Linked DNA regions of Astyanax mexicanus. Each later gene encodes a partner of the first gene's protein in a complex. Links are inferred from orthologs where the notes say so. Each region holds a gene or a part of one and is shown in the gene's direction. Other genes may lie near its edges.

Evidence for each region. Proteins that work in one complex are often made in the same cells at the same time.
Region 2: the proteins of lzts1 (region 1) and asb7 are in contact, whole or in part, in a crystal structure (PDB 8Y1U), measured with the Homo sapiens proteins. The link is inferred for Astyanax mexicanus from reciprocal best matches to the Homo sapiens genes LZTS1 and ASB7. Residues at the interface, in NP_001349813.1 of Homo sapiens: Arg346, Glu348, Leu349, Leu352, Met353, Glu355, Gln356, Leu358, Leu359, Glu360, Lys362, Leu363, Arg364, Ser365, Tyr366; in NP_937886.1 of Homo sapiens: Asn46, Trp48, Ala56, Ile79, Phe82, Tyr87, Met90, His91, Asp116, Trp118, Val123, His126, Tyr127, Ser147, Lys149, Thr151, Gln155, Leu156, Ile159, Arg160, Phe182, Arg185, Tyr186, Ile189, Lys190, Arg210, Leu220, Leu223.

Annotation. Positions count from the first base shown.
Region 1 is NC_064419.1:33,059,810-33,069,766, forward strand, and holds the start of lzts1 (leucine zipper putative tumor suppressor 1), read left to right. Parts: upstream 1-5,364; 5' UTR 5,365-5,464; intron 5,465-9,957. UniProt on the Homo sapiens protein: Involved in the regulation of cell growth. May stabilize the active CDC2-cyclin B1 complex and thereby contribute to the regulation of the cell cycle and the prevention of uncontrolled cell proliferation. May act as a tumor suppressor.
Region 2 is NC_064423.1:10,095,966-10,106,376, reverse strand, and holds the start of asb7 (ankyrin repeat and SOCS box protein 7), read left to right. Parts: upstream 1-6,270; 5' UTR 6,271-6,602; intron 6,603-7,369; 5' UTR 7,370-7,465; intron 7,466-8,737; 5' UTR 8,738-8,774; coding exon 8,775-8,985; intron 8,986-10,411. Other genes in the region: lins1 (protein Lines homolog 1), read right to left, coding at 639-1,223, 1,905-2,046, 2,187-2,276, 2,898-3,209. UniProt on the Homo sapiens protein: Probable substrate-recognition component of a SCF-like ECS (Elongin-Cullin-SOCS-box protein) E3 ubiquitin-protein ligase complex which mediates the ubiquitination and subsequent proteasomal degradation of target proteins.

The DNA of each region.
Region 1 (9,957 bases):
ATGTTACAATAGATATATAGAGTTTGGTATTTGCTCAAACAGGCAGGGTGTAACTATCAGTCGACAGACAGTCTGTTATTTTTATTTCTGTCTTTTATTTCTGTTATTACAATGTTACCACAATGTTATTTCACTTTTATTAACTTTATGATAGATAGATAGATAGCTAGATAGATAGATAGATAGATAGATAGATAGATAGATAGATAGATAGATAGATTAAGTAAAGATAGTTTAAATCAAGTTTGTATGTTTATCAGCTGGACTTTAAAGTGAAGAATATGAAAAAGCAATGAGACAAAGATATAGTGATCTTTTTTTAGAGAAAGTGAGAAAGAGAGAAAAAGAGAGCAAGAAAGAGGAGAATTGAAGGTGTTCAGAAAAAGGTGACGCCCCTCCAAACACACACAGACACACACACATACACACCATCTGGACATAAACACACACTCTCTGATTGATAGTGCGCTTTGTTTAAAAAGCCAGGTGTTACAGATTTATTACCAGACCCAGGTATAACTTTGTAAACAGTACATACACACATACACTCACACATACACACTCTCACACACATACACTCACACATACACACTCTCTCACACACACAGACACACAAAGAACGCAACATTTTCAGTTCTGTCTGGGCTTGTCTTTGTTTCATAATTGATCAAAGGCTACAGTGGTGTTGTAACAGAGCGTACCTGTTTGACTTTACAGGTTTCTGCCTGAACAACCCCACCACACACGCACACACCCACACACCCCATTCTGCCACTCGGAGCTAACACTCTCACACACCTCACCTCATCATCTGTGACATGTACAGCTGTAATGATTTCAGTATGTATTAAAAATAGTTTTTTTGTTTGAGGTAAATATGAAACTGAACAGCCTATACAGGGCTCTGTCTTATTTACCGTCTTTCATTGAAACAGACCACTGTCAAAAAGGTGTTGGGGTACAGCCAATCAGAGTAAAGTGGGCAGGGGTTGGCGTGTGGCTTATTTTATAGAGGGCAACCAGGAGTAGTAAATATTTATACTAATACTAATAAGAATTGTTTGTTTTGTTTTGTTTTGTTTTCTCTTGGGCTCCCTCTACAGTTGTGGAGTGTAATTCACTTTTACTCCACCGCAGTAAATTCTAATTGTAATTTGTAAGAGTTCAAAATCAGAAATAGATCACAAGGCAAAAATCCTAGTCAAGGACAGGCAAGGATTAAATAAAAAAACAGGAATAACAAACACTTTAGAAAACTACTTAATAAGGCACTGGTGTGGCATTATCTCTTAACTAAACTAAGCAAGAGTCCCAGTATATATAGTCCATGTAATAATGGGCGGAGTCAGCTAATTAGTACTTAGTTACAGAGAGAGAAAACATGTGCATCGCCACCATAGATGGTTCCATAGTGCAGTTCCAGCATTAGAATTTTGATCAGGAATGACAAAGGCACTATTACATATTATTATGTATCAGTGAAGCATCATTATGATTCTAAAACTGCTATTTTGTGAAAAAGTTCATACAGAATGTTGCTTATGGTGCCAATAACTCTGTGATTATGCTGCATCTGTTGCTAGCATCTCTCTCTCTCTCACCTTTAACCTGCGCTGACTTTTAAATAAAACTCATCCATCTGCATTTATCATTTATTCATCTGACCTGCAGATTCAGAATAGCCAACCTGAATAACAGAGAGAGAGAGAGAGAGGGAAAAAGCAGGAAAGAAAAGAAGGCAAAAATATAGAGCTTATAATTTATTCATTTTAATATTTTCTGAGATTTTTATGAAGTGAACTGTAAGAACTGTCAGTTCAAGTAAGAGAAATGACAATATGCTGGTATTACCATCCTTACTGTACCTTCACAATATGGTCAAAAATACTGGGACACCTGCACATTCATGTTTTTTTCTGAAATCAAAGTTTTCATGGAAGGTTTTGTACCAGATTTTGGAGCATTGCTGTAAAAATTTAGAGATTTAAAACAGTAGAGACATGGTGGAGACATAGTTGTTGATTTTGTAGAATGACACTCCTCTGTCAGGCAGTCTGATGGACGAGTCTGGGTTAAGCGGTTGCCAAAAGAATTTTGGCAGAGGGGCGGCACCAGGAGGCCGGCAATGCAGAGTCTATGTATATATATGTTCATGTTATTATCAGTACAGTGATGTTGGCGCATGAAGCTGAAGCTAACGTTGTAGTAAAAATATATAGTAAATATATAAAGTAAATAGTGTTTTTTAATAAGCTTCTTGTGCACTTTTTAAGTTATTAATGCCTCATTTTAAATATCAGGGCTCTCTAGATTCTAGCAAGGAGATGTAGAGCTACTTTTAGTCTGGTGGAAAAAGCGATTTATTGGGGCAAATTATGCCCGGTGTCACCCAGTCTGAAGGGTGTTTGGACAAACTGTTAAAATTTCTGTGTCTCGGAACGTGGTGGGAGAACAGAGGTGTGCTATTCCTCACAGGTAAGTACTTTTTTATCATGTTTTACTAAACCAAAAGTCCATTTTACACCAGAGTCCTCCTTTAATGAGTTCCAATGAAAGACTCTCAATGCTTTAAAAAGAATTATAGCAAACAGTGTGATCCAGGCTTCTCGCCCAACATCAGTGTCTGACCTCACAAATGCGCTTCTGAAAGAATGGTCAGAAATGCACATAAACACACTACTAAACCTTGTGGAAAGCCTTCCCATTAAAGTTAAAGTTTTTATAGTTGCAACAGGTGGGCAGACATCAAATTAAGTTTAAAGTTTCCGTGGAAGACTTTGTACCAGATTTTGGCGCATTGCTGTGAGGATTTGATTGCATTCAGCTCCACAAGCATTAGTGAGGTGAGAGTTTTGGATGTTCCTCACCTTAACTGATCCAACCTCAACTTCCCAATTTATCCCAAAAGTTTTGTGTGGATCACTTGAGCTCCACAGATCAATGATAAAAGTGCATTATACCCATTTAACATATGCCTGGTATTAAGCAAATGGTGCCAAATTAGTCATGATGCCTTGAACCAGTGCAACACACACTAACACACCACCATCATGTCAGAATTACGGAGGTGCTGTAAATGACCCAACACCCAAATAATCTAATAATGGTGGACCAGCAAGGTTGGAGTATCTACTAGAGTGGAAAGTTAGGGTTAACCATGTTTAAAACCTCCAGCAGCACTGCTACCACCACCATGTTAGTATAGTCAATGCAGTACTGAGAATGGGAGACCCATTACCCAAATAATAGCTTCTCTGTGGCTCTGTGGTGGTCCTGTTGGGTCCTGACCATTGAGGAATTGGGTGAAAAAAGGAAAACATAAGCAATACAGTCTGTAAATATACATAGAACTACATAGTGCTCCTACATGGTCAAGGAAGTTGATAAGAAAATGGCCTAAAAATGTAGACCAGCTAAGACCTTCTGAAACCAGTTATCAGCAGAATCTAATGCTGAGCTGGAGTTTTCCCTCCCAGTAGAGTCTGGCTGCAGATCTCCTCTGTGAGGCATATGTCTGACTAACGACCCCAAACCCAGCAGCAGACGAGTAATGAAAGTGAACTTAGACTGAACTGGACTGTGTGAGACGTCACATTACACCAAGCTGACTTATCCATCCTTGCCCAAGGACATGGCTGGTTGGAAAGAACACAGTGTGAAGCAGATCTATCTGGAGGTCAGAGTGGTAACGGATGACACTGTGTGCCCAGGCCGGAATGGCCCCATTATCCACCACCCCTGGGAAGCTGAGGTATCATCTCACTTTACTGTCAATACACTGTCGCAAAGAAGACAGGTGACTCCAAGGGCAAGACATGACTTTTAATCACTTCTGGAGAGAAGAAGATACCTGAAGAACTGTGAACATTTATGAGTTGATTAGAAACAAAAAGTTGATTTTAAACTTTTAATAGGAGTGACTATCATTTACTTTATATTGATATCTAATAAAATACATTATATTCCAATCTCTTCCATGGCCAGCGTGGGACTATAATAGTGTCAGTCCTGACAATGTCAGTCTGCATCCTCTGGACTCTGAACTTAACAACAAAGACTCCAATTCCCTGCATGCACTCGGACTCACCTGGCTTTCCTGACTATGCTGATCACGTGTTGCTACGGAGTTCCTTCTCCCCGAGCTTCTGATTTTTCACACCTGCCTGTCTTAGGAATATATATACCACCCTGTTTCTGTATTCATTGTAGTTTTTCAGTGAAACCAAGCATTTATTTTTTCATTCTATATTGTTACTGACCCAGTTTTCTTTTTCTTTTTTTTATTCTTTTCTCTTGCCCTTTCCATTTTTTTTTTTACCATTGCCAAACCTATTTATGTAGTTCAGACTACTCTTTTTGTCTAGCCCTTTATCTGTTTGGATTACCCCATGTATGATTGCTGCCATTTTGTTATTGACCCTGCCTGTCTCTGGCTACCCCCATAAGTCTAACCCTATAAGTCTAATATAAGTTAATAAATTGACTGATTGGTATCTGTGAGTGTCTGTTGTTACAGGTAGGATGCATGAAATATATATTGGGAAATATCTTTACTATTAAAAATTCTACAGGTAACTGTCAGTGCTTTTATTAGTGCATCTCAGCCAGAAAGTGGTAGACCATGTACATTTTGCACCAGGAATGGCATAAAGTTGTCTAAAAGCAGTATGTGAGACTGGTGGAGGAAAACATGCCAAGATGCATGAAAACTGTGATTAAAAACCAGGGTTATTCCACCAAATATTGATTTCTGAACTCTTAAAACTTTATGATGATAAACTTGTTTTCTTTGCACAATTTGAAGTCTGAAAGCTCTGCTTTTTTGTTACTTCAGCCATTTCTCATTTTCTGCAAATAAATGCTCTAAATAACAATATTTTTCTTTGGAATTTGGGAGAATTGTTGTCCTTAGTTTATAGAATAAAACAACAATGTTCATTTTACTCAAACATACACCTATAAATAGCAAAATCAGAGAAACTGATTCAGAAACTGATTTTTGTCAACAGCTGTAAATATATATAGATGATCATAAAACTGTGGACAGTCTAAACAAAATAAAATAAACATTTTAGACAAAAAATGTTCTAAAAACACTGAAATAACCTGTGAGCTATCACAAAACGTTTTGTATAAAACATGCTGCAAAATATTAGAGAATGAAACACATTTTTATTTTTTATTTTAAAGGTCTCGTTTATATACTAAAAACCTTCAAAAGACAAGAGAGAGGTAAATAGAGGGAAGAGAGCTGGAGAACATTAAGCAGAAGGGAGGAGGGCTGTGTGATAAAGGAGGTGAAAGAGAGAGGTAGAGTGAGAGAGTAAAGTGGGGCGAGAGAGAGAGAAAGAGAGAGAGGGAGAGGAGGAGTGTTTGTTCTACAGCTCGACTCACCTGAGGAGGACAGCCTCGCTGAGACGGAGTGCTCTTACACAGGATTCACTCAGGAACACTACAGCCTCAGGTAAGAACTCCAATATTCACTCTATTCTCCAGCTGTGCTGACTGTGCTGTAGTAACCCTATTAATTCTTTCATTACTTTAATAGATAAGGATATTTATGGAAGGTCAAATACATTATAGCAGTCTCTACTACACTGTGGAGTCTATAGCTATACAGCTGAATACAGATGTTTGGGCACAGCTGTATTTATTTTAAATGCTGTAAATGCTATTATAAATCATCATTCTTGGCAAAAGCACATTTCTGAATGTTTTAATAAATTTTTAATGAGTATTTACTGAATTTAACAGATAACATACAAATATTTTAAAAAATCAAAAAGTAGGATCACTTTTTGTAAAGTGTAAATAAATATAAATAAAATTAGGATCCAATCAGCCAACATTCTTCTTTGGTCGACCGAATAGCTTGGGCCTGTTCTGCGTGAAAACTGTCCTGTTAAACCACTTCATGGTCTTGGCCAAAGTGCTGTTTCTCATTTTTAGGGTGTTAGCAATGTTTTTTATAGCCTAGGCCATCTTTAGGTAGAGCAACAATTATTTTTTTCAGATCCTCAGAGAGTTCTTTGCCATGAGGTGCCATGTTAAACTTCTACAGCTTACACAAGCTTTATACTCACTACTTTACATTGTATTTAAGTGTCATATCTTTAGTGTTGTCCCATAAAAAAGATGTAATACAATATTTATGAAAATGTGAGGGGTATACTCACTTTTGTGAGAAATTGTTTTAGATGTTGAAAGTGAGACATTTTACCATTTCATTAAAAATATATACTCATTTAGAAACTTGATTAAAGCAGTGAATCAAAAAAATGGAATAGTAAGTGGTACCAATAAAAAGAGCTGCATTAAGACAGCAACTAGCTTTTTCACTGGGTATAAAAAAGAGCAAAAAGTGGCAGAGTCTCTCAGAAGCAAAGATGGGCAGAGGTTCACTAATCTGTAAAAAAAAAATTTCTAAATTGTGGGGCAAAAAAAAAATACTCAGAGTAAAATTTTGTCATATACAGTACATAATACCTTCAAAAGATTAAGAAAAAAATGGATAAATTCCTGTGCAGAAGAAACAAGGCAGACAGTCAATACTAGATGCTGGTGATCTTCGGACCCTCAGGTGGTACTGCATTAACAACAGCTATGATCTTGTATTAGAAACCAATGGATGGGCACTTTCAGAGTGTTCGCCTTGTAATCCACAGATGTAAGTTTAAGATGTTTTATACTAAAAGTAATCATGTGTCAATATGGCCCAGAAATTCCGCTGTTTTCTCTAAGCCAAAGCGCATTTAAAAAGCAAAAATCTGTGCTGTGGTCCCAAAAATGGTTTTATAATTGTATTTTATGTTGCATATGATAGCTAAATGCAGAGTCATTTTAATTTAGTCTGTAACATACATAAGATTAGATTAGATCAGATAATCTTAGATTTCAAAAGATTCAATTGTGATTACTCTAGAGATTAATTGTGATTAATCTAATTAGCACAGTCCTCCAGTATCTGAGACTTTTAGTAAGCATGTTTGAGTACCGACAGTAAGGAACACAGCTGCTACAAACGCTTTCTGCTCTTTTGTGAGTAATTATAGCTGCTGTTGAGTAATGAAGTCAGTAAATCTGCGACCAAAGCAGAGTTTCATGGATTGTGGGTAAATAGCACGCCCACATTACAGCCATTTATGAGTTCAGTACATGTTCTCTGCATCACAGCCAGACCTGTGTAATAAAGCAGGTGCTTAGGTTTCATCAGCGTGTCTTGCCCTGTCTCCCAGAATCCTCTTCAGCTCTACAGGAACGTTAGTACTGCAGCATACGGTTAGCATTAAGGAGAGGGGGACGTGCTGAAACCTGTACAGAGACGTGTGGGAGAGACCAGGGCTTTAGTAAGACTCTTCTACATGGGCGTAGTTTCGGTTTCAGAAGTGTGAGTGCGGAGTTGGGTGGGAATAAGACTGGGAGTTCATGGAAACACATGATAAAATGTAGAAATTATTTTTGCATATGGGCAATCGGGAAATGTTACCACATTCAAAAAATGATGAGGAAATATGAAGATATGCCCCAAATTGAAAAAAAGGTTGGCAAATATCACTTAAAAAAAATAAACAAACTTTTATCACAGTTAAAATATTTTCACATGGAAATAATATGGTGAAGTGTAATCACATGAAAAATTGTGGAGAAATGCCATCAAATGACAAATCTGAAAACTTGTTATCATATGTAGGGAAATTCATGCAACATGTTATCACATGAAAAATAAAAAATGTTTCAAAAATATGGGGAACAACTGGCAAAATGCCATCACAAAGAAAGTGTGAGGAAATATTACCATGTGGAAAAAAGTGGGAAAATGTCATCACATACAAATGTGAGGAAATTTAATAATGTGGAAAAAAGTGGGAAAATGCCATCACATGGAAAATGAGAAAAAAAATTATTGTGTGGAAAAAGTAGGAAAATGCCATTACATGAAAAATATGAAGAAATGTTATTGTGTGAAAAAAATGGAAAAATGCCATCACATAAAAATGTGAGGAAATGTTATCATGTGAAAAAAGTGGGAAAAAAGCCATCACATAGAAAATGTGAGGAAATGTTATAATGTGGAAAAAAAGTAGGAAAATGCTATCACATGGAAAATGTGAAAAAATGTTTGTGCGTGAAAAAAAAATGTGGGAAAATGCCATCACATGGAAAATATGATAAAGATGTTATCATAAGGGGAAATTGGATCACATGGAAATTTATGGGACATAATATTACACAGAAAATGTGAACAAATGTTGATACATCAACATTTTCAAAAATATTACTGTTTACTGCTTATTATATTATTAAAGGTTATCACATGAAATGTGGGGGAAATGGTATCAACTGCAATTGTGGGAGGATGTGATTATATGTGAAAAAGTAATGGCAAATGTTATCATATTTTTTTTAAGAAAAAATCATAATATGGAAAATTTTAATATGGACATTTTAATGTTGAAAATTATGAATTTCAAATAATATGGTAACATGATATCACATGTAAATGTATGTGACAGTTCCATCAAATAACAAATGTGGCAAGATGGAAAATGTTATCACGCTGGGAAAATCTGGAAAATGTTATCATGTTATCATTTATCACCTAAAAACACAAATGTGATAGTGGGAAAACATGCTGTTAAGTGTAATAATGATAGAACTGTATTTAAAAAAAAGTGAAAATTGTTCTTGTAAAATATCATAAGTGGGAAAACATAAAAAAGAAAATTATTAAAAATCACATTATGAACACATATACTTTCATGTCATTTAGTTGTGTGCATTGGCGTGGTGATAACATCCAACAAAAAAGCTGGTGATGATCTAAGATGTATAGGAGCTTGGGCAGTCGTGTATTATTAAAGCAGCTGATGGTTTTGTAAGGTTGCGGAGGCTCCAGGTTGAGGCTCTCTTGATGCTCCAGCCCTGAATTGTTTCGTGTTCCGCTGGTTTGTAAGCATCAGCGAACCTGAGGGCTGGAAATAGAGCTAAATCCTGAAATAACTGGCTGTTGTGTGACGCTCACGAGCCTCTGAGGAACCATTCTCTGCAGGAAAGTAGGTTATGGAGTCTTTGACTCACTTCTCCACACACTCCACCTCCCTCTGGAGAACCCTGTGCATGAGACACTTTTCACCAGTAACTCTGCACTTAAAAGGTGTGATCAGTGATCAGCAAGACCAGTTCAGGTTCATCACAATCTGTTGTGAGGTCAGATGCTGTAATGTTCAAAGAAAATTGGATGTCTGAAGAGTAACCAGTGATATTAACAGCTCTGGAAAAAAATAAGAGACCACTTCAGTTTTCTGAATCAGTTTCTCTGATTTTGCTATTTATAGGTATATGTTTGATTAAAATGAACATTTTCGTTTTATTCTATAAACTACGGACAACATTTCTCCCAAATTCCAAATATAAATATTGTCCTTTAGAGCATTTATTTGTGGAAAATGAGAAATGGCTGAAATAACAAAAAAGATGCAGAGCTTTCAGACCTCAAATAACGCAAAGAAAACAAGTTCAAATTTATAAAGTTTTAGAAATCAATGTTTAGTGGGTTTTTAATCTTAGCTCTACTCTAACACTAGTGTTAGCTTTGTAGCTTTAATGTTAGCTCTACTGTGAGCTCTACTCCAGCATTAGTGTTAACTCTGTAGCTTTAATGTTAGCACTACTCTTAGCTCTACTCTAACACTAGTGTTGGCTCTGTAGCCTTAATGTTAGCACTACTCTTAGCTCTACTCTAACACTAGTGTTGGCTCTGTAGCCTTAATGTTAGCTCTTTAATGTTAGCATTACTCTTAGCTCTGCTCTAACACTAGTGTTACCTTTGTAGCTTTAATGTTAGCACTAATGTTAGCTCTACTCTAACACTAGTATCGGCTCTGTAGCTTTAATGTTAGCTCTTTAATGTTAGCTCTTTAATGTTAGCTTAACTGTTAGCTCTACATTAGCAATAGT
Region 2 (10,411 bases), on another chromosome or scaffold:
GAAGCATGAAGTGCTGTAAGATTTTGTGGGAAAACTTTGGGATAAATAAAGTGTCTGTCTGTCTGTCTGTCTGTCTGTGAGTGACTTTAGACTTGATAAAACACAGTGAATCAACACCAGCAGATGACATGTCTCTCCAAACAATCACTGATCATCAGTAAATTTTGCATTTTATTTGGAAAACAAGGGATCAGTGGAGGATGAGTGGAGAGACACAGTTCAAACTGCTTGAGGTCTAGTGTAAAGTGAAGAGACATGTCATCTGCTGGTGTTGGAAAATCTTACATCTGACAACTTTTATGGAGATGCAGATTTCATTTTTCAGCAGGACTTGGCACACTGCCCACACTGCTGCCAAAAATACCAATTGGTCTTATATAATATTCTTATTTTCTGAGACACTGATTTTTGGGTTTTCATTGGCTGTAAGCCATAATCATCATCAACAATAAAATAAATAAGTGCTTAAAATAGATCACTCTGTGTTTAATACATCTATATAATATATGAGTTTCACATTTTGAACTGAATTACTGAAATAAAGTAACTTTTTAATGATTAATGATTAATTACAGTGCTGAGAAATACTAAACTGCAGTAATATTAAGTATATATAAAAATAAACAGATTATGATTACCTTCAGTGCCAGCATGTTGTGTTCTAATCTGCAGACTCTTGATCAGGATGAGGCTAGTAGCTCTCAGCATCACTACATCTTTCCCCTCACCCTCCGGAAACTTCTGCCTGTTCCCACCCAAGAAACTGGGCTGGGGTTTGACCCACATCCGCCTAAACCAACCAGCCGCCACCTCCTGCAGAACAGCATCCGCCAACACAAGCATGTCACCAGCCAGGAACTCGTCCTCCTGCAGCGCAGAGTGACGATCACCTAAAGCCCAGTCTTCTCCAGGCCTCTGAACCACTGTCCTCTTCAGTAACAGCAGCACTCGCTTCTTCACAAAGTACCCCAGGCAGGAGTCCATCAGACGGAGCAGCACTGAGCTGTGGAGGAACATCAGTCTCTGAACTGTGGAGCAAACGCCGTACCTCGGCCTCGCAGCACAGAGAGCTTCCAGGAGGTCCATGAAAGTAGATACAGTGACATCCAGATCAGTGATGTTCTCTGCCACCTGAGAATTTTCAAAGGCGTCATGAAGGAGCATCTTGAAAAACAAGGAAGTGAGAACTTCTTCAAAACCAGCGAGAAGTTTCCTCAAAATCTCTGAGGAGAAAATGATCAAAATTTTGATTGTATTATGTAACAAAGCAGCACAAATTTCTGCCAGATTACCATATTTTTCAGACTACGGCGCACTTAAAATCCTTTAATCTTTCCAAAAATTGAGTGTGCCTTAAAAAAATTAACCAGGTGTGCCTTATGTAAGAATTTTACCAGTCAGGTTGTAAGTACAGCGATATAAGAGTGAGTTTTCAGTCAAGTTTCTCCAGCACTAAGGCTGGGTGCAGCAGCTTTAGCATTAGCCGCTAACCGCAGTGCTAGCTCTTTTATCATTCAAAGGTGAGTATATTAGATTGTAGTCTGCGTGTTAGCTTTGTTAAAACAAGCTATACAATAAATTCAAGTAATTAACCCTTAACATATTCGGCGCAGCTGTTAACTGAAAGCCATTCCAAGTGCTTCTATCTTATAAAGCTGTGCAAATTGCTGTCTAAGCAAGAAATGCCTGCTTTGAAGAAACTAAAATATAAAACATATTCTAGATACAGATAAAGCCTTCAGCCGCTCTTCTGCATCCCTGATCTAATCTTTGTTTTATCTGCAATCATGCCAAATGAGTCTTTAACAGTCAGAGCGAACTTCACACTCACTATTGTAGCTATCTTTAATATAAACTTTTGGGAAGCTGGGTCTGATTGTGTTTCTGTGAGAGCTCTATAGTACCTGGTTTGTTGGCACACTCTCCTCTTAGGATTCCTTTGATCACCTCTGTTAGTGACCACAGGCTTGTGTCCAGTGTGCATCCAGGAGGTGAAGAACCAAATGTTTCAGCACAGGCTGCTGTCCAAACAGCATCCACATCACCCTGCAAAGAACAAGAACACACTTTTATATGTCAAACCAGTGAAGACCTGTTCTGCCTTAACTGTCACAGGAAGTCATTGTAGGAAGATTTGCTTCTGGTTAAAGCTACTGCCAGGTTTTAAGTCGCAACTGACTACTTACATAGGCACAGGTGTCATCGATGACAAAGGATGAGACACACTTTGCGGTCAAATGGGATAAAAGTCTGTCCCCACAATTATAGAGAGACATCTGCAACAAACAGTCAACGGAAAATATTGGATCATAGTCATAACCCAAAACCTGCTTGATCTCACTGTTAAACTTGATGGAGGGGAGCAGTGTGGTCCAGCAGGCTATGCGCTGCCATTATGATTGGTGGTTCGAATCCCGGTCATGCAGCTTGCCATCATCAGTCCTGCTGGAAAATAAAATCCATATCTTCATACAAGTTTTCAGCAGAAGGAAGCATAAAATGCTCTCCACTCTTTCTTCAGACTCTGATCACTTGATTTCTAAATGAAATGCAAAATTTACTAATGATCAGTGATGGTTTGGAGAGACATGTCATCTGCTGGTGTTGGTCCACAGTGTTAAATCAAGTCCAAAGTCAGCGCAATAATTTCCTGGAAAAACTTACAGCACTTTATGCTTACTTCTGCTGAAAACTTGTATGGAGATATGGATTTCATTTGCCAACAGGACTTTGCCCACGCTGCCAAAAGTACCAATAATATTCTCATTTTCTGAGACACTGATTTTTGGGTTTTCATTGGCTATAAGCCATAGTCAAACAATATAAGAAATAAATGCCTAGTAAAGTCACTTTTTAATTATATTCTTTTTTTTCGTAAAACACATAGAATAACTTACAAGCTCCGACATCAGATCTGCAGATGTGAACACTTTCTTCAGGACATCTCTGTAGAAGGTTCTGGCATTCTGTGGCAAACTGTTTCCTGACAGTCCAGCAATCATTTTCCCAATGAGGGTCAGACACAGGCATGCCGAGTCCACGTCTGGACCTTCAGCGCTGAGTGGAGATTGGCTTAAAGGTTGTAAAGTGCGCTTTAGGGCTGAGAAAACTCTGCCTGCCAGCTCTTCACTAGATGTTCCAGGAATGACCCCGGCCTGGAAGATCTGGAACACAGCCTGCAGGTCTGAATAAGGATCATCCATGTCCATGTGGTACCGGTTTCAGATGCAGGCTAGGCTTACTGATCCCATGCTAGTAGTGATCTGTTAACAATAAATGTTCAATGTTTTCCATTGTTCTTTTCTGAACTATGAAATGGGTTGGATACTGTTATATATAATTGTCTGCTTGAACTATTATTGATGACATACTTAAAATCCTTTAATTTTCCCAAAAATTGCCTGTGCACCTTATAATCAAGTGCGCCTTATGTATAAATTATATCACTGAGGTATTAAGGAGCAGTAAAGCCACTCCGCTAAAGTACAGTATTATACAGGAGCCTTAGTTTAGTGCTCAAGCAGTTTTAGCATTAGCCGCTAACTGTGCTAAACGCTAGCCCTTTCGCCATTCAGAGGTGAGTATTATTATCAGCATGTAGCCTGCTGTTAACCCCAGCTAGCACTGCTGGAGCAGCATTAGCATTGGCCACTAACCGCGCTAGCTCTTTTGCCATTCAGAGGCAAATATACAGGCCTGTAGCCTGCTCCTAACCCCGGCTAGCACTGCTGGACAGCATTAGCACAAAATATTCTATTAAATAATTCTAATTAATATGCTTCCACTTGTTAAAAATAAAGTGGTCTGGTGGTTTTTTTTATGACAACATTTTCTGTTTAGCTTAGCAACAGCAGGATAACAACTGCTCATTTACACAACGTTACTTTAAAAAAAAACTGAAAGCTAACGAGAGCTCAACATTCATAACTTTTCTCTGGGATCAATAAAGTTCCTGTCTAACAGATATTTTTGTTGAAAATTCACTCGGAAAAGAAATCTCAGTACAGTATAAGTACTTTTCAACATGCTCAATGGAATTATACACTCACCAAAAACGTACACACTGTTAACATATACACAGTTATATTATGCAGTGTTTTTATACCCTACACTTTAGGGCTGCGAAGATTAGTCAACATAATCAACAATGCTGGTTCTAAAAATTCCAAATTTCAGGGTCAATTAATTGTTAATTTTTAACATCTTCGTACTACACAAAGTGCTTGGGACAGAAACACAATTAGAGAGGGTATATGACTTCCCACATACTCAATTTACACTCAGCTTGGTCCACAAAAGTGACCAAACACGACAGATTACATATTTTATCACTAAATATCAAAACATGTCACGTTTAAAGACAACTAAATCCAACATTTAGCTGTTTCTATTGTGTTAAAGGGATGAGAGAAAGCTAGCAACAGGAGCCATAGGAAGCAGGATGCAAACAAATGAACTAATCTGACTAATCGAAAAAATATGTATATATCAACATATTAATCGAAAAGCAAAACAATCATTAGTTGCAGGCCTACTGCCCTTAGAAAGCTAGATTTGCTTCTCACAGACTTTTGATGTTAAATATAAACTTCAGAAGGGCTTGGTTGGCTCAGTAAGATGTTAGGTAGATAACTATTGTATTGAGAGTTAAATCCTGCAGAAAGAATGCTACCTAATCTAGCTAGATCTCCAGAGAATGATGGTTGGAGACCAAACATCCAGGAGATCCAGGGCTTTCTAAAATGTCAACATTCCCAGTTAAACACTACCAGAATATGATGTGTGGTGAACCTCATCATCCAAGATCTTCAAGATAACCAATGCTAGCTAGAAGAAGCTTCTTCAAGCCATCTGGGCACATCTCAACAAACACACATCCAGCAGCACAGAGTCTATGAAACAGACTGAACTGAAAACACAAAGCAACAACTTTCGGCCGAATCACTTCAGTAATCCTCTGTTTAATTCGGATCTAAACCCCCAAGAGTTATACTCCACTAATCAACACTGCACTGCTCTCCTCTGATACACACGCTGAGTCTTCGAGCAGTGAAATCTGTCGCAAACCAACCATTGGTTTACGGCAGCGGGTCTGTTCCAATTGGTGAACTCGGTCCCTGTACACTCGCTCACTACTGAGTGTCCTATTTGAGGTCTGCTTTTGTTATGGGTTAAGTTTTTTTTTTCAATTAGTACTATTTGTCATGATTTGGAAAATTATTGAATTGCTAGATTATCATGATTGACTCAGTATTTTATAATAATAATAATAATAATAATAATAATAATAATAATAATTTCCATCCTGATCTGTGGAAGAGACTCAAAAAATCTCCAACTAAGCTTCTTTAATATTTACTATTTTTGCATTGTACTAAAATGGCTGAAACAGCACCCAAATGTTTCAACATTAAAATTTTTATATAATGTAATAGTCATTATGGCTTTTAGAAAAATTTGTTTTGGGGAGGTGGAGTAGGGCAATATCGGCTCTTGTAGTGTGGACTAATCTTTTGTCCTTACTGGCATTTCCAGTTGATACTTCAATTTATATAGAAGTATTTTAAACCCTAGAATCTATACTTCTACCTACAGAGTAATTAATGTGAATACGTTTTACACCTTTGGACTTAGTATTTTAAAATAATACCATAGCACCAAGTGCAAAACGAATTTACATTTCAGAAAAACAAAATTACAAAAAATAAATACATTCAAGACCTCTCAAAATAATAACTTAGTCTCTTAACATAACAACTTAGTATCTCAAAATAACAACTTAGTATCTCAACATAACTTAGTGTCTCAAAAAGGACTCAACATCTCAAAATAATGACTTAGACTCTCAACATAACACCTTAGTATCTCAAAATAGCGACTTAGTATCTCAACACAACAACTCGGTATCTCAAAAACGACTCCGCATCTCAAAATAATGACTCAGTCTCTTAACATAACAATTCACTATCTTAAAAAGGACTCAGTATCTCAAAAAATGACTTAGAAATACAGTTTAGTATCTCACAATGTATGTAATATTAAGAAAACTAATTTGTGATGGACTTTTTTAAAGTGTATTCCATATGACACAATAATGTGTCCAAACATTTGACTGGTTCTGTAAAACAGTCCTACTGCATATGACTGACAACTGCCACAGCAGATCTTTCATAGCGCTTTAGTGTCTAGTGCTCTAGTTAGGGCACAAGTGCGCTTATTGGAGCGCACGCGCTGATTTGACAGCTCAAATTCGTCTGTCCTGCGCTGTGATTGGTTAAGGGCGCCAGAGCCGGAGTCTGGAAGTGGGCAGCTACTTAGTTAGCCTGTTAGCTGCGTTTAGTGAACAGTTGCGGCTGTTTAAATGTTTTCCCGGAGCTTGTTTCTTAGGTCTGGAGGTGAGGACCTGCCCGGCAGCGTCCAGTGAGTGCCGGGGCTGCAGTTCGGGGAGTTTCGGCGAGTTGGGACAGAGTGTGACTGCGGGGTTTGGCTACAGGCTAGTGGACAGCCTGCGGCTAAAGGCTAGTTAGCTAAGTTAGCTTAGCTGGCTAACCTGCTAGCCCTGTATAGGAGTAGCAGCTTGAACCGCTGCAGCTGCTGCTGGGGTAAGTTAACGCTAGCTTGCTAGCTTTAGCTAGCATAGCCTATTTGCTTTCTGCTTGGAAATAACTGCGCTTTTTAACACTCAGAGCTTCTGTGCGCCTTTTTAACACACGTGAGAGGTTTAGTATGAAAGTAGTTATGATATTAAAGTGTAAACAAACTAATTTATAAGTTAATATGCTTGTATTTAGCTAGCTTAGCATAAGCTAGATAACAGAGCTGTGCTAACAAAGCTAGCTAGCGTTAACAGTTCATTGTTTGCTCCTGCCAGTGCCAGTTTCGTCCTGTCCAGTTATGTTAGCTAGGTTAGCTATTCAGTCAGTGAGTAAAGCTGACGCTACAGCTTTTAATGCTATTACTGTCTTTATATCTGTATTATAAAGTGTTGTAAAGATTGCTCTTTATATGGGTTAGCTGGCTGGTTTGGTGTTATATCTAAGAGTTAATAGTTTAGCACAGTTAACAGTAATGACTGTAAAAGCTAGCTAGCTAACCCAGATAACAGTAGCTAACAGCAGGCTTGTCGAATGACAAGAACAACAATAACACAGCTCTGTCTGCACCAGACTGTTTTAGCCTTTTCTCCATTTTCCTAAATACACTTCCAGCCCAACAGTCTTAAGAAAATACAGTTTAAATAACGTTGCAGTTACTAGCTAGTTATATTGGCTGTATGTAGAGGTGAAGTGAACTGTGTTGTTATTTCTGTGCTTCTTGTATTGATTAATGTGTTATTGTTCTTCTGGTCTTGGTGCTTCTTTCTCCATAGGTTTCTCTTTCTCTCCAGCTCTCAAGTTCAATGCTGGACTCAATAATGGCCACAAAATACAAAGAGGCTTCCAGGACTGCTAGACTTTAAGCAAGGGTAATCATGTCTTAATCTGGGATTTGTTTCTGTTTTTTTTTTATCTGAAAGTATATATAGCTAACGTTACTTCATATACAACAACTCAATGTACAGTACCATACCTCTTCTCATTCAGTGTGTATTATTTCTTTCTTTTTATGATGTCTTACATTGTAAATTTTATATTGAAAACTATATTAAAGCTGTAGAGTAACACAAACCAGAATATGTTTTATACTTTAGATTTTTCTAAGCAGTGCATTTATCTTTGATTTGCACACTCTTGGTATTTTAATCTCACTGTCTTCATGAGGGAAAGTCACCTATAATAGTTTTCTCGGCATCTTGAAGGAGTTCCTAGAGGTGCTCAATAATATAGTTAATTTAATGCTTTTCATTCCTAATCACCCATCTCAGTTGGGTTTAGGTCAGGGGATTGTATTTACTATGTAATTTCATATGTGCCCTTTAATTGTTTTCATGTCTGTAGTATTAATCTACAACATAGAAAACAATTAAAGAAAGAAAAACAATAAATGGGAAGGTGTGTCCAAACTTTTAACTGGTACTGTATGCACTAAGCTTTAGGTGATGTTTTAAGCATAAATTAGGATCATTTTAAAGCATGATTAAGTTAATATCAACACACATTTATTCGGCATTATTAACACTAGAGCTGGGTGATACAGAAAAAAAAATATATATTATTTATTCTTTTTATATGTCCTTTAGTATTTTGGGGTACTATTTTAATTATAATGTTTAATAGTTTTATTTAATAGTTATTAAATTATTAAATTATCAGCAGCATATTGTGCATAATAGACATTTGTTTTTGTTTAAATTAGGGATAATATACAGTAAGTATACACCAAGCAGTTTTGGGGTTTGGCTAAATAAATAAAGAGAACAAATTATAAGGAAAAGCTCGTAGTCACTGCAATATATATATATATATATATATATATATATATATATATATATATATATATATATATATATATATATATATATATATATATTTATTATTATTATTATTATTTTTTTTTTTTTTCTCTTTTCTCCCCAGTTTTGGTTTTGTCTAAAAATTGTCATGTTGGTGTATCCTTATTTTAAATACAGTTAATGTGTTTACATCATGCAACATGCCCTTTTCATTAATGTTCCTCACTCTAAATCACAGAGCTTGCATACTAGTGTTTCAATGATTATAAAATAATAAATAATGGGTAAAAAAAAATTATTTAAATTTAAAACCTTGACCATTCCATATCATCTCTCTGTTAACAGGCACATGAGAGGCTGAAGATCTGCGAGATGTGACAGGATGCTGAACCATCACTGCAGAAGGAACCCGGAGCTACAGGAGGAGCTGCAGATCCAGGCAGCGGTGGCAGCTGGCGATGTCTACACCGTACGCAAGATGCTGGAGCAGGGCTACTCGCCCAAGATCAGAGACGCCAACGGCTGGACCCTGCTCCACTTCTCCGCCGCTAAGGGCAAGGAACGCTGCGTCCGTGTTTTTCTCGAGCATGGAGGTACGAGGCTTGATATTTCCTTTACAGAAACATTTACCTTAATGATTCATATTGTCACTGTCCAATGAAAAACGTGTGTTTTCAAAACAGCAACTATACAGGAGAGAGAAAAACTATTTCATTTTATTTTAGGTCATTAAAAAAAAAAATATGATCTGTTCATCAGGAAATGTTGGCACAGTGTAAGTTTGTTCAAATTATGCAGTAAACTAAAAATCATCAAAAAATAGAGATGCATGTTATTCATTGGAACAGCAACAACAAATAATTGGACATATTACACATGGCCAACTTGACAGCTTGAATTATGTAGGTCCTACAGTTTCAGTGTTGTACAGATGAGCTCTCAAAATTATCACAGCAATGGTCTCAAATTATCACAGCAAATCTTACAAATTTCACCATTTTATCCAGACCTACTATACATAATATCATGTAATAATGGAATAATTGTCATTTTCAGCTAATAATGATTATAATTAGAACTGTGTCAAGCTAATATCTTATGATGTTTTTGCATCAGTCTGTTAAAACTGACATTAAGGAAGCGTGATGACAGTGAATAAAGCCATCAGGAGTGGTAGCAGAAGGGAGGACAGATTTGTTTTCTGGTAGAAGACTGAGCATCCAAAATAGAACTGCTTGCTTCAGTCACACTGCACAGTCACTTTTCTCTGCTGGAGGCTCTAACAAAAAGAGAGTCGGCAAGTCTGACAGTTGGTCTCTGGGACTTTCAGCCAGGTGGAACCTGTTCCTGTGAACACTTTGCATGGTGCTCATGGACCAGGTCACATTAGAACAGATGCAGCGAAAAACATATATAGTTAAAAGGAACACAAATTTCTCCTTCTGAAGAAACTGGTTGAGATCATATGAGCTAGTCTATACAAGCTATGGATGTGATGATATAACTACTGAATAATTAATACTACATGTATCAATACTGCCACTACTTTCTGTATGAATGTTGCTTGTATTTATTTTAATATTAGTGTTTTAATAGTAAGTAAACAGTCACTGGCCAGAGCTGTAGGGAGCAGGAAGCTTGTTCTTTGTCATTTCAAAGGTGCCTGATGTTTATGCACAGCATCACAAAGACACAAAAAAAGATGTGAAAGGATAAAAATCATGTTTTGACAAATATTGAAACCAACAATGAAAAATAATAAAGCATAGAAGCAAATCTACCACAAGAAAAACACAAAAAGAAACACAACTGTAAAGGAAACTGTGAACTTAACAACTAAATATGCCAGATCAGGTGCTCTTCTTCTATAATTACTTTGGTTCAGGTCATACTTCACGAAAAACCCCCTTAACTAATAAAACAGGAGGAGATGTTTCATTGTGGGTGAACAATGTTGACCCTGTTTGCACCGGGTCACATCATGGATCTGACTATTAGCTGGATCTTATCCATGAAGAT